2 linked regions of the Cricetulus griseus genome follow. The protein of the gene in region 1 purifies or fractionates together with the protein of each later gene. This does not show direct contact. Links are inferred from orthologs where the notes say so. Each region holds a gene or a part of one and is shown on either strand. Other genes may lie near its edges.

Region 1 (7,148 bases):
TTTGTTCAAAGCATGAAATTAATTTGCTTATACAGTTAATTGTTCTTTTACATTTGAAATGAGAAAGTATTAGAAACCATTGAGTCTCATTTAGACTAAAGTAGCCTAAAGAATTTATTGCACGCCTAGATACTAAGTTACTTTCCAAAAAAAAAAGCAAGTGTCTCAAGTGTCTCAAAGCAATATAAGCCTGCTATGGAAAAAAAATACCTTTTATAAAAAGTATGTGAATATATTGTCAGGAATCATTCATGGTGACAATTTTTACCATAAACATTGCTTTCTCCAGCCCACTTTGAAATAATCTCTAGTCATAGTGAGGTCTGCCATGAAATTCCAGATTTTCTGGTCTCAGCATCCTATGTGCTGGGATTGCAGGCAAGTACCTTCATGTCTAGCAGTAATACATGTCTCTAAATTTTAAAAACTTTATAATCCAAAATATGTGAGTTAAGACATCAGTGGCATATATACGAATACATGCTTAACATTAACTAAAAGAATAATTTCTTCAGATTCCCAGGAGAAATCAGGATTCTCCATACAGAGCTAGATTGTCATTTTGACATCTCCTAACTTAAACTTTTAAGCTGTTTAGAACTCTAGGGTTTTGGTCACATTTTGATAATTAACACTATTGTAAAATTAGTTTTCTTTTTCAGACACCTTCTAGTGATTCGAGAATAGCAGAAAGTATCTTCACATATTGCAATAGTAATGTGCTTTATAAAAGTCTAATGATCTTAATTTTTGGTTGTACATTTTAATAGTTTGCAAAGAGAAATCCTTAAAAGGTTACATTTTTTTACTGGTTCTTTCCATAAAATACAGCGGTAGTTTCCAAATGAAGATCTGTAATGGGAAGGAGAGATGAAAAAAAAAAAATGACTAGATACTTTTAAAGTATCTTAAAATTTTACATTACAATAATGCCATTTATTATTATTTATCCTGGAATGGTTTACATTCTTCCCCGTCTTGTTTTTTTTTTTTTTTTTTTTTTTTAACAAATAGCTGTTTATATTGGGGAGAATATATACATACACACACATACGTATACACACACACACAATTTGTGTAAAGTCATAGTAACGAAAAAGGTACATTGCTACGTGTGATTGTTACATTTTGAGTACTAGATAGTTACTGTTTATCCACAATGTTACAAGCCAGAAAATGACTTGTCAGCCAGCCTTTATCATTTAGTGGCAATTGTCAAAGCCATTAACTAAAATAACAAATCTCGTTAAGTAAAAATGCCACGCGGGCACCATCAAGACGCATGGCTTTTAACAGGGTTCAGCTGAAATATATATATATATATATATATATATATATATATATATATATATATATATATGTTATACATACACACACACACACACACACACACACACACACACACACACACACATATATATATATATATATATTTATATGATTCAGCCTGCCGGTTACTTCCCTCCGTTGACAACACTGCAGGACCTGGGCCTTTACCTTCTAGTATGGGAAAACAGTGACAGATCCTGTGCTGGCAGAGGCCTGAGCTGATACCTTGTCTGCTACGCTCAGCAATCCCTGCAACGTTTACCAAGGCAGCTGGGGTGAAAAGGCGTGTGTGTGTGTGTGTGTGTGTGTGTGTGTGTGAGAGAGAGAGAGAGAGAGATATCGTAGGGGGGTCAGTGTGTGTGTGTGATATTGTAGGGTGTGTGTGTGTGTGTGTGAGAGAGAGAGAGAGATATTGTAGGGGGGTCAGCCCTAGCAACTGAACATTTCTGCTCCTCCTTGTGTGTGTGTGTGTCCATGTGTGTGATTATAGGGGGGGTCAGCACTAGCAACTGAACATTTCTGTTCTTCCTTCTCGTGCCTCGGGCTGGGGACACCACCTCGGCCGACTTTCGGGACCGATCAGTCTGCCTAACTGACCCGGAGCCTGTCCTCGGCTGGCTAGCTCGGGCCGCTCTCCCGAGGACACGGAAGCACACCGGACGGGTAAAAGGAGCAGGGCCTGAAAGCACCAAATCTCTCCCAGCCCCGTCTCAAGATGGCGACAGCGCCTGGAAGGCTTCCATTGAGCCCAAGGCCATCTCCTCTTCCCACCGCTCCCCGCGCCGCAGCGAAGGCGAGCTAGAGGAAGGGCCTCGCGGAGCTGCGAGCGGGGCGGGGCAGAGCCCGTCGCCCTCCCACGCACGCGCGACCTCGCCTCACATCCCGCCTCTCCCTCTCGGAGCCCTCGCCCTGCAAGGGCGGCGCGCGCTGCCTGTCGGGATACTCGGACCGCCCACCCACCCAGTCATCCCGTCCTGCGTTGCGTTCGCGAGACCCGTGTTTCTCCCAAGATGGTGGCGCTCCTCTCTGGGTGGCTCTAAGAGACGACGGGGCCTTTCGTCTTCGCCAGCACCTCGCTGCCCCCTCCTGCGCTCGTTCGCGCACCCGGCCGCGCAGCCGTCCACCGCCTCCTCACGCCTCTCCTCTGTCTACCTGTCGCGGACGGTGGCGCCTCCTTCTGCTGCTTCTCGGAGTTGCTCGCCTCTCTCGCTCGCCTCTCTCGCTCGCTCGCTCGCACTCCAGTGTGGACAGACCGCGGCAGCAGCCGACCAGCGCTGCCGACTCCGACGTTGCCCAGGCGCCTGGCCTCCCGGCCTCGGTTTCCTGAAGAGAAGCGCGGGTCCCGCATGAGCTCCGGCGGTGGCGCCAGCGAAAGGGAACGAGGCGGTGGCGGGCGGCGGCGGCGGACGAGGGCGACTAGAACCAGTGAGGCAGCCGCAGCCTAGGCGCGGGGGCGAGAACAGGTCAGTGCTGCTGCGACCGCGGCCTGCCCGGCGCGCTCTCTCTGGTCTCTACCGCGTCCGCCTTATCCCCCTCCGGGCCGCGCAGGCAGGGTAGGCGCCCGGGCCCTTCACCCGCCTCTGTGAGCGACTGCTTGGGGCGCGTGGTCTGGAGGGGCCGGTGCCAGGAGTAGGCCCTGGTGGCTGCGGCTGCTGCAGCCTTAACTGTCAGTGCTGGCTGGGCGCAGGAGGGAGGGTTTTGTCGCCCGCGGGTACCCAAGTGGGCCCGGGGTGGGGCGGACGTGGAGGGCCTGGAGATCGGGGCCTCATCGAAACAGGGATCGGACAGCCAGCCGTGGCTTCAGGCTGCGGAGGGCAGGCCTTTTCCTCCAAAGGGACGCTCTGGGTGGGAAGACATATTTAGACGTGTGCTTAGTGGGTTGGGGTATTGGGGGTGGATTGGAGAGGAAAGACGGATGAAGCGGCACATCAAGCCTAAGGATTGCGCTCTCGGTTTCTCCGTGTGCTGCTTCCGATAGAATTCGGTAGTTGAACGTGAGTTAGTAGATTCCTCAGAAACTGCTATGTTACATTTAAATGCAAACCTGTAAGCAGTTGGCCTCCTCCTCCTCCCCCTCCCTCTTTTCAGTTGAGAAAATGAAAAGGACGTTTTCCCCATCTTGATGCGGAGGCTTTTTGTTGAAAGAGTCAGAATTGAATGTGCTACATGCTTTACCTCTAAAGAGAGAAAATATAATTTTAAAACGACTTTTCAGACTGTAATTCTTTTCGAGGAATTTTTTTTTTTTGGTCATTTTTTAAAATGACTTTTTATGAGCATGCTAAAGCAGAACAGTAAAAAAAAAAATCTCTTTGGGATTGTATTAAGTAGCTAGTGTGCTGTTCCAAACGTAAACTAAATAGTATATGGGATTTGTGATCCATGATTGTCTTCAATCGTGAAGGACTGTGGGTATAACCCATGATTTTGGGAGAAACAGATTATGCCAGAATGTTTTGGAGAGGAAAGTGCGTTTGAAATAAAGATGACCTAAGTTTAAGAAATACAGCTGCTAAAAAGCTACATACCAAAGACATGCCACTACCAAATAAATCTTGTTGAATAAATGGGAAAAGTGACATGAGAAGTGTTTTCCTCACACCTTGGATTAGTGGTTACTCTTAAGATGTCTTTGGAAAATCATGCAAATTTAGAATTAGAAGAGATAGAAATTTTTGTCTTGGCATGTGTGACAGAAATTGCTGTGGTATTTGATTTTCCATTTAAATCAAGTATGCTTACTGCATTTTTAAGGAAATGAATTACCACATCTATGTTGCTGATAAGCCTTAAGGATGACTGTAAATCCTTAAATGCTTAGCATTACAAAAAAAAAAAAAAAGCCTAAGCATCAACATATGTAACAAAAGAGAGAGCTTCCACAAATAATTTGTAGTCTATATTTTTTTAATAAGAGATACTGTACATAATAAAAAGATGACTTGTAGCTTTGGTTTCAAAATCAGAATGTAAGCTGTGAAAGACTTGTGTCAATATTTAACTTGCATTGGTGTGTGGAGTAGCGTATACACACATACTCCTTTGGACATTGCCCCCATACCTGAGGAGTTCATGAGGTTAGAATATCCTTTTTGCATGCAAATTTTGTAGGCATCTTTTGTTTTTATCCCTGAAATCCACCACCCCCCTCCCTACCTCTTTTAATTTTTATTTCATTATATTTTTTTAGAAAGGGTCTTCTAATATAGCTTCTGGATGACCTGGAACTCTCCTGGCTCTGTCTGCAGGGTGCTGGGATTAAAAAGTGTACCCCAACAGCACTGGCTACTGTCTCATTTTATGGCTTTAAATGTAATTTCTACCTGAGACTAACCCTCTTCCCACTTGATTAGTCCTTTTAACAGCATTCATTGGATATCTATAATGTCTCTGACATGTAACATTAAAGTCAATTGTATTTTTAAAACATTTATGTCAATCTCTATCTTCTGTCAAGTAATTGCTGTAATTTGTTTCTCTCAATTTTTATGATTATCCTGTAAATTGGCCATAGCTAATTTTTTTCTGCTCAAGAGCTTAGAATAATTTTTTGCAAATGTCATTAAAAAAAAACTTAAACGGTTAGTGGTGTATTCTTACTATTTATTCTATTTAGGTTTATGTTTGTTATTAATGATAACATTACTGGTAAATGAATCTATATATTAAGTGCATATGCAGCTATTAAAAACATCAGTGATAAGATTTTTGAAAGTAGAAATGAGTTTGCAAAAGTGGTCTTTTAAGTACTTTCAAGCACAAAAAGCACATGACAGGGGGTCCATATAAAATAGTCTTTAAAAAGTCTTTGATATTCTCTTCGTTAGGGTTTAGGATAATAGGGTTTTGGATGGTTTTGACAGTATCCTCACTGATAAATATAAAGACAATGTTAAGCCAGGCACGGGGTCTCACATCTGTAAAACCAAGAATTGAAAGGTCAGGCAGGATTGTGGCAAGGTCAGGGTTAGCCAAGACTAAAAGGTGAGGTGAGAGAATGTCTCAAAAAAAAAGTAATGATTAGAGATGTGCTAAAATATTAGTGGAAATAGCTTTGCAGTTTATTTATTCAATTTCTCTTTTTTAAAAAATTTACTTTTCTAGATAGTGTTTCTGTATCCCTGGTTATCCTGGAACTAGCTGTGTTGACCAGGCTGGGCTTAAACTCACAGAGATTCCCTTGTCTCTGCCTCTAGGATAAAGCCCTGTGCCACCACCACCCAGCTTTGTAATTAGAGCTGGATTTAATTTTTCCTGAGCCATGGTTTTATCTATAAACAGGATGGTAAAGATATCCCAGATGTGAGGATTAAAGACTGTACAGTGCCTCATAGGTTTTCAACTTTACCTTAGCAGACTGCATACCCAGTTTTTCTGAATGATCTTTAAGCACTTTGTATATAGTGGTCTATAGCCCATAAATAATTCTATTGTTTGTTTTCTGTCTCATTGTGAGCTCAGTCTTTAAGTGCAAGAACTTCTATTGTTTAATTAGAGAATATCTTTCCAGGTGCCTTTAGACTGTTATATTATCAAACACTGGGTAGTTTACATAAATTAAAAAATACCCCCATCCCCCCACACACCTTAAGTATAAGTGTATATCATAGTTACGGACATTGAGAAGTACCAAGATCAAAGCTAATTTTCATTGAAAACTTGAGTAGTGTTAGGATTTGTTTAGTTGGACTAGGGATTGAACCCAGGGCCTCTCACGTGCTAGCCAACTACTTTACGACTTCCTTGTCACTTTTGTATTTTTCACACAGGTGTCATTAGGTTGGCCAGGTTGGCCTTAGACTTACTCTAGCCTAGGCAGACCTTGAGCTTGGGACTCCTCCTGTCTCATCTTCCATAGTTATTAGATTGCAGGCCTATATCACCATGTTTGTGTTGAAGTATGTCTTTGTGTTTCTGTATGTCTATTATTTTTCTCTTTGAGATTTTATTTTATGAGAATTTTGCCTGCATGTATGACTGCACCACCACATGTGTGTGGTGCCTGTGGAGGTCAGAAGAGGGTGACTAGGAATAGTTGCCATGGAGGCTCTGGGAATTGAACCTAGGTCCTTTGGAAGAGGAGCAAGTGCTCTTAATAGCTGTGCCATCTGTTTAGCCTCCTTTCCCTTCCACCTTTCCAGTTTTCCTTGTGACAGGGTCTCACTAACCTCTGAAACTAGCTGTAGAGACTAAACTGGCCTCCAACTCAGGCAGCCATCTGCCTCTGCCTTCCCAATGCTAAGGACATCAAGGCAGATCCTCCTAAAAGCCCCACCTTATAATTTTGTCACCTTAGATTTTAGGCTGTTAGAGAAGTTTCAGGGGCTTGTAAACATTCGGCTCATATTGTGGAATATGCCTGAAATAGTTATTAGCATATTGACAAATGGTCAGCTAACATTTCTGAATCGTATTTGAATACTCTGAACTGGACTGGGTTATATGGGTAAAAATACAAAAAACTTGTCTATCGTTTGGAAGCTGATAGTTTTAGTCATTTATTGCACATAACACTTTTTTTTTTTTTAAATGTAACATCTTGTCATATTATGGAACTTAATATGCCCCAGTCTTAGGGCAGTTCTGTAGGCTTAGCATCTCTTACCCCTCAGCTGCAATTATAAAGACATACTATTTGTATGTTTTTTGAAGAGTGTGGTGGGGATACAATCGAAATACATGTGTTCAAGTCTTGTTCCAGCTCATTATTCAATATCTGATTTATAGTATGTATACATGTGTGGTGTGTGTAAAATAAAATAGATTACTCTGGTACTTGGCCTGTTAATACTAGCTTTTGGAGAGTGGTTGATTATTCT
Region 2 (7,242 bases), on another chromosome or scaffold:
CCGGAGAGCTTCCGGTGGCTCTCTAGTCTCTGCCTCCTGGCTTGCTGTCAGGATCACAGGTGTGCTAGTCAGTAAGAGGGCTGCGCAGGTTCACCACATGACTCCGTTGTAGCTCTAAATTGCAATCACTTAGTAAAGAAGGCAGCTACAGAAAGTCCTCCACTCACCTCTTGCTTTTCTTCCAATGGTTTCATCTGCTCCTGATTTCTAATGAACTCTTCCTCCATGAGAAGATAATCTTTTATTCTCTCTAACTTCAGTAACTTGAGGCGGCACTGAGTGTGAGGTGTTACTGCAATTAAAAAATAAGGCACACTATATTTGGAACCTAGAAATTTACAATAAAGTTTTACGTTATGCTCATTAGAAAGCCACTAAGAAACTAAGTTTGGGGCTGGCAACATGGCTCAGTGGTTACAGGGCTTGCTGCCAAGCCTGAAGACTGGAGTTCTGTCCCTCAGACCCACAGGGTGGGAGGACTGAACTGAGTCCTGTAAGTTGTGCTTTGACCGCCTCATGCTCACAACTGCACCCGAGTGTGCAAGCAAGCACTTATGTGCACACACTGTGATACAGGAGCTGAGGAGATGGCTTAACAGTTAAGGGCATTTGCTGCTTTTCCAGAGGAACTGGGCTCAATTCTTAGTGCCCACATGGCAGCCCAAAACCATGTGCTTGGCACACACGCAGCGCACATATACACAGGCAGGCAAAGCACTCATACACATAAAATAAATATTAAAAAAGAAAAAAAAAAACCCAACGTAATAAAAAAGAAACGTAAGTTCACACAACCCAAATTTTAATATAGTAATACTTCATTTTACAGACTGAAAATGTTTCTGAGACTGGATTTGTAGTTTAAACTGTATTTCCATTGTGGGGCACACTTAATCCCAGCACCTGGGAAGCTAAGGCAAGAGGATAATGAACCTAAGGACAGCCTGGATAGCACAACTGAGAATGTTGCCTCACAACAAATAGGGCCATTAAGATAAAGGCTCTATGGGTAAAGGCACTTGCTGTGCAAGCCCAATGACCTAAGATCCATCCCCAGAAAAGTGTCAGGAGAGAACCAACTCCCAAAAGCTGTTCTCCAACCTTTACACACATACCATAGCATATGCGTGTGCCCCCTGTAAAATAATAATACATGACTTCCATTTTCAATACTTCAGAGCGGTTGGCTATTTAAAGACAGTAAATGGGATTATTATCATCATCTTTTTTTTTTTTGGAGAAAGGGTCTCTGTATGCAGTTCTGGTTGGTCTAGAACTCAGTGACCTGTCTGCCTGTCTCTGCCTCCTGAGTGCTGGGGTTAAAGGCGTGCACCATAGTGCACTGTGGATGGGATCTCTTAGCACGAGACACTCATTTAATACTGCATTTTAAGATAAAATATAACTTCTACATCAACCCAGGGAAGGCTCCACGGGAGCTAAGTAGAATGGGTTACAACCACAGTGCTAAGGCTTCAGTCTCCCCGATACTCCCTGTCTCCCCTTTACACTCTATGCTACATGCAGAGTGGTTTCCTGGGAGCTAGGAAGACAGTAGAGGCGCAAGCCCATTACCCAGTGGCAGTTTGCTGGCAGCATCCGGTCCCTTTGTTTTCTTCTTCTTTTTCCCCACTCTAGTTGGGACAGGAGGCTCATATTTCTTTTTCTTGTCCTTGAGTTTTTAAAAGAATAGGAAAAAGAAGTCACATGGAAACCACAAAATGCACATTTATTTTTGTATTGATAGCATCTATTCTGGGTATACAAATGTCACCTTTTGGGATATTTAAGATAATTGTCCTCTTTATCAATACTTAAAAAAAAATATATAATTACATTATTTCCCCCTTCTCTTTTATCACTCTAATCCCCACAACCCCCACCTTACACTGATGGCCTCTTTTTGATTATTGTTACAAATTTTATTATTGATATAAACACAACCCGTGGACTCCGTAAAATAACCATCTTTAAAAAGCAGACTACATATCCCTGCACTCTGAGATTTAACTGCATCGTGCGTGAATGTCATCTCTTTAGAGAGATGGCAGGAACTTGGATTTTTTTCAGTGAGTAGAGAGAGGTCAGACTTGAGTTACTTGCCAAAAGTTTGAGTAAGGCTCGGCACGTCTCACACCTCGGTATGCTACACACTCAGACAATCTACTTTAAAACATCCACAATGTTCACACTTAAAAAATCATTATCTCAGGCCAATAAGCTTCTCAAAAAAACAGGAAAGAGGTGATCCACCTGCAATCCGGGTCACGGAAATAACTACTACATTACTTTGCTTTTGAAAGTTTGTGGCTCCACAAGGAACTCACTGAGACCTAATGGATGTTTCCACAGCGTGATCAGATCATGTAAATATCTTGCTTTTCATTTACCTTGTCATCCTTCTTGCCACCCCCAGGACCATGGCCACCACTCTGACTTTGACCCTGTCAAAAAAAAAAAAAAAAAGAAAAAGAAAAAGAACATGTCAGACATTAATTTAGAATACAATCATTGTTGACAAGCCTAAGAAACGTGGCCTGTGGAATCTGAATTCTGGTCCCATCACTCTAGACCAGTCAGGCTCCTCCACTGAGCTCTGATGTCTGTAAGAGGAAGATTTCAGCTCCTTCCCACCTATTGCTGGAAATGAAAACAGCAAATATACCCTTAGCATTTCTATGGATTAAGTTCTATCAGCAGACTACTGGGTCAGGATTGTAATTGTCTCTGTGGCTTCACTGTGTTGGTGCAAATCCAATCTGGTTGTATTCTTCACAATTCTGTCTCTATTCTCACCCCTCCTGCACCCATTCTCTTCCAGTCCATGCCTTCTTATTTGGCCCTCAGCCTCCCAGGAGAGAGCTATTATCCTCTAAAACAATGAACCGAACCGTCAATCCTTCCCAAACCCACCAGCGGTATTGTATAGCCCTTAGCTCAGCAAGCCTAGCTTTTGCCAACCTGGCTATACCGAGCCTTCCCAGGTTCATCTACCATCCTCAAGCCTTTCCAGTTTGGCTCCAGTGGAAGACATTTTCCTCATCTCTGGGACATCTTACATGTTTTTCGGTCTCAAAGAAGAGGAGCCACACCTTTTATAAAGCTCTTAAAATATGCTGAGCAGTGTGCGAAACATTCTTGGAATATTGTCTCTTTTGATTTTAAAAAGAGATTTCTTTTCTTAAAAGTGTGTGTGTGCAGCTAACTATCTCAGCAACGGAGGAGAGGCTACCTTAAATGCCCTCCCCTGATTATGAGATTGATGACTGACTTATATGCCTTCATACAGCAGCTGGTGAAGTAGAAGCAGATACCCATTAACTAATCACTGATCTGAACTGGAACTCAGATGCAGAGAAGGACCAGTGAAGAGCACAGAGGTCCAGACCAGGCTGGTGAAACACACAGAAACAGCTGACCTGAACATCCGGGAACTCTTGCTCCCCAGTCTGATAGCTGGAATACCAGCATGACACTAATCCAGACCCCAGGAACAAGGGTTTCTGTGAGGAAACCTCAGAAATCTATGGGACTTCCTGTAGAAGGCCAGTATTTATCCCTAGCATAGGTGTGGACTTTGGGAGCCCATTCCATATAGAGGAATACTCCCTGAGCCAAGACACATGGGGGTGGGCCTAGACCCTATCCCAAAGGATACGAAATACTGATGACACCCTATGGAAGGCCTCACCATCCAGGGGGAGCAGAAAAGATATGTGACAGATAAGGTTTTAGTTGGGGGGCTAGGGGAGGACGGGTGGGAGAAGGGAACTGGGATTGTCATGTAAAACAATCCTGTTTCTAATTCAAATAAAAAAAAGTGTGTGTGTGTGTGTGTGTGTGTGTGGTGTCCCAGGATACCAGAAGATGGCGTTAGATATCCTGGAGCTGGAACTACTACTGGCTGTTGTGAGCTTCCCGACAGGGTACTGGGGACAGAACTTGGGTCCCCTGAAGAGCAGCAAGAGCTCTTAACCCTGGAGCCATTTAATTCTCACCACCCCCAATTTACATATAAAGAGACCAAGGTCCAGAGAGGTTAAGTGGCTTTGCATATTGTCACAAAGCTTGTTGGATAGAAAGGCAGACTTCACACCACGGTCTTCTCTAAAGCAAACCCTGGGTGTTCGTTCCTTAACTGCTCTAGAAAAGACAGGACCTGTGTAACACCAATGGCCACTTCTTAATGCATTTCAGCTTCCTCACTCGAACGGGGATATTAATAATCATCTCCGGGGCTGTTGCAAGAAGTAAGGACAACTATGGGGAAATGTCCGGCCCATGTTCAGAAGAATACTTTCCAGGACCTTTGCGGGTTCCGGCCTTCACCCACACTCAGAGGCACGAGCTCACGGCTGTCTCCGGTCCTCGGCCGGCCCCTGCTCCCCTCTGACTGCTCCGCGGACACCCTAACACCTTGGTGGGTCTCAGCCGCACAAGGACGGCTGGCCCGGGCCTGCCGGGTCCTGCTCCCTGGCATGGTCACCGTCTCCGCGCCCAGCCCGGGCTCCGGCCCGACAGACCCAACCGGAGAGCGCCGGGGGCTCGCCGCCGCCCCCGCGTCCCGGGCTGCCCCGCGCGGCTCCAGCCCTTCTTCAGCCTCTCCTCGGCGGGCTCCCCGCAGGTCCGTCCCCGTGCTTCCGCTCGCCCGCGTCCCCGTGCTTCCGCTCGCCCGCCCAGGCGCCCGGGCCCGGGTCCCGGCCGCGTCGCCCCGACCTCCCGCCCTCCGTGCCCACGACCACCGGCCGAAACCCTTAGTCACTCACCATCTTTCCCCAGTCGTCCGAGCCTCCGCCGCCGGAAGTGCATCCACCGAAACGACCCCGTCAGGAGCGGAAGTGACTAAGAAAAAGCTACGGAAGCCCGTGAGGTCCAATTCGCTCCCAGGCGAGTTGCGCGCGGAGGGATCGTCCCAGTTGTTTAGTTAGTTACAGGGATCGTGGGCAGAGGGAATTCTAAATAGCTCCTGTCGGGCTCATCTTGGTTGCCAAAGAATCAGGGCCATTTTGAAAATTAAGAAAAAATTAAATTATGCAAAAATTTTAAGCAGAAATAAGTATTTGCGCTAAGAATTGGAATGGGTACTTGGGACTGGAAAGTTGCTGCATAGGCTGGGTGCACACCTTTAATCCCAGCACTCGGGAGGCAGAGGCAGGAGGATCTCTGTGAGTTCCAGGCCAGCCTGGTCTCTAGAGTAAGTTCCAGGACAGCCAGGACCGTTACACAGAGAAACCTTGTCTCAAAAAACAAAACAAAAGAAAACAACAACAAACAAAAAACAAAAAAGAAAAGAAAACAAAGAAAATTTGACGTATACACAGCATTTAAGTTCTTTAGTTTCTGGAATTTGACAACTCTCCTGAGAACGCTAAAGTTACCTAAATTTGTGAGTTGTCCCCCTCACCCCCATGACAAACGACTGAGGATGATGGCAAATATTGTGTTAAGATTGCCCTCGAGGGGCTGGAGAGATGTCTCAAACTTTTGAGACAAAGTGGTCTCTGAAATAAAGGGTCTCTACAGGGGCTGGAGAGATGGCTCAGAGGTTAAGAGCACCAACTGCTCTTCCAGAGGTCCTGAGTTCAATTCCCAGCAACCACATGGTGGCTCAAAACCATCCCTTATGAGATCTGGTGCCCTTGGCTGGTGTGCAGATGTACATGGAAGCAGAATGTTGTATATATAATAAATAAATTAAAAAATAAAGGGGCCAGGCGTTGGTGGCGCACACCTTTAATCCCAGCACTCGGGAGGCAGAGGCAGGCGGATCTCTGTGAGTTCGAGACCAGCCTGGTCTACAAGAGCTAGTTCCAGGACAGCCTCCAAAGCCACAGAGAAACCCTGTCTTGAAAAACCAAAAATAAAATAAAATAAATAAAGGGTCTCTACAGATTCCAGCCAAAAGTAAAAGAACATGTTCTAGAACAAACTCTCTAAGCCACCAACAGCATAAGTAGAAAGCATTTGGAAAACCGTCTACGGGTGGGGTTTGTTTTTTTTTTTTGGTGTGTGTGTGTGTGTGTGTGTGTGTGTGTGTGTGTGTGTGTGTGTGTGTGTGTGTGTATGTGTATGTGTTTGTTTTGGGGGGGGTGTTGGTTTCTCTGTGACTTTGGTGGCTGTCCTGGAACTAGCTCTTGTAGACCAGGCTGGTCTTGAACTCACAGAGATCAGCTTGCCTCTGCCTCCCGAGTGCTGGGATTAAAGGTGTGTGCCACCACTGTCCTGTGATCAGAGTGTTTTCTAATGAAAATTTACAGAGAAACACATTCCTCCCATAATATTTTTACTAATTATTTGGGAATTTCCTATAATGTACCCTGATCACATTCGATTCCCATTTCTCCCAGGTCCACCCCCCCAAACCCCACCTAGTCCAATTTGTGTTGTCCATCTACTCATTAAAGCATGGTCAAACTCCCAGTGGCCAGCCCTTAAAGAGCCCTGAGTCCTTCCCCACCCCCTCCCCCGTCAGCAGCCAGCAGTCAGCAGCTGTGAAAAGCTGCATTTAGCATCTTTAACACAGTTCCTAAGGACTGTCTCCAATAACTTCCTGTCTGGACTACAGAAACACTTTTTTGACACAGTACTTGCACTGGCTTCAGATCAGAAAGCAGGACCGTGGGGCTGGAAAGATGGCCCAGGGGTTAGGAATACCTGCTGTTCTTGGGAGTTCAGTTCCAACACTCACAATGGGGTGGCTCACAGCTTCCTGTAACTCCAATTCCAGGGGATCCCTCATCCTCTTCTGGCATTGAGGGCACCTGCAAGTATGTGGTAATTAAACACATGTACACATAAATAAAATAACTAGAAGTTTAAAAAAAGACAGTGAGGACACTGAAAGTGGACAGAGTCCAGGTGAGACTGAGGAGGGTCCTCCACTCTTGGGACCCTGGCCAGGTGTTAAGCATTATGGTTAATTAGTGTTATTAGCCTTAATAGCAACGAATGAAAAGTTCTTTAAGTTCTTAATGCGAGTATTCCTTAGGTTCTTTTTTTGCTAAATAAGGAGAGAATTTGGGGAGAGGAAATCTGACTCCCTGATTAGCAGCTACTAGACTCTGTGTTGGTGCCCTGGCTACTCTGAACCAAAGGGCTGTTAGTCAAACAGCCAGCATCTCTAGGTATTTTGAATACTCCGCAGACACCTTGAGAAAACAATACACAATCACAGCCAGTTGCCTTGGTTATTTCAAACACTTCGTACCGGACTTTTGGCTTTTACCTCAATGAGCTCTGGAT

Evidence for each region. Proteins that work in one complex are often made in the same cells at the same time.
Region 2: the proteins of Ube3a (region 1) and Psmc1 purify together in Homo sapiens (affinity purification with mass spectrometry; 5 studies listed by BioGRID and IntAct, with this or other methods). This does not show direct contact. The link is inferred for Cricetulus griseus from reciprocal best matches to the Homo sapiens genes UBE3A and PSMC1.

Annotation. Positions count from the first base shown.
Region 1 is NC_048596.1:138,735,620-138,742,767, reverse strand, and holds the start of Ube3a (ubiquitin-protein ligase E3A), read left to right. Parts: upstream 1-2,652; 5' UTR 2,653-2,792; intron 2,793-7,148. UniProt on the Homo sapiens protein: E3 ubiquitin-protein ligase which accepts ubiquitin from an E2 ubiquitin-conjugating enzyme in the form of a thioester and transfers it to its substrates.
Region 2 is NC_048598.1:105,594,077-105,601,318, forward strand, and holds the start of Psmc1 (26S proteasome regulatory subunit 4), read right to left. Parts: upstream 4,864-7,242; 5' UTR 4,770-4,863; coding exon 4,767-4,769; intron 2,445-4,766; coding exon 2,391-2,444; intron 1,673-2,390; coding exon 1,576-1,672; intron 293-1,575; coding exon 168-292; intron 1-167.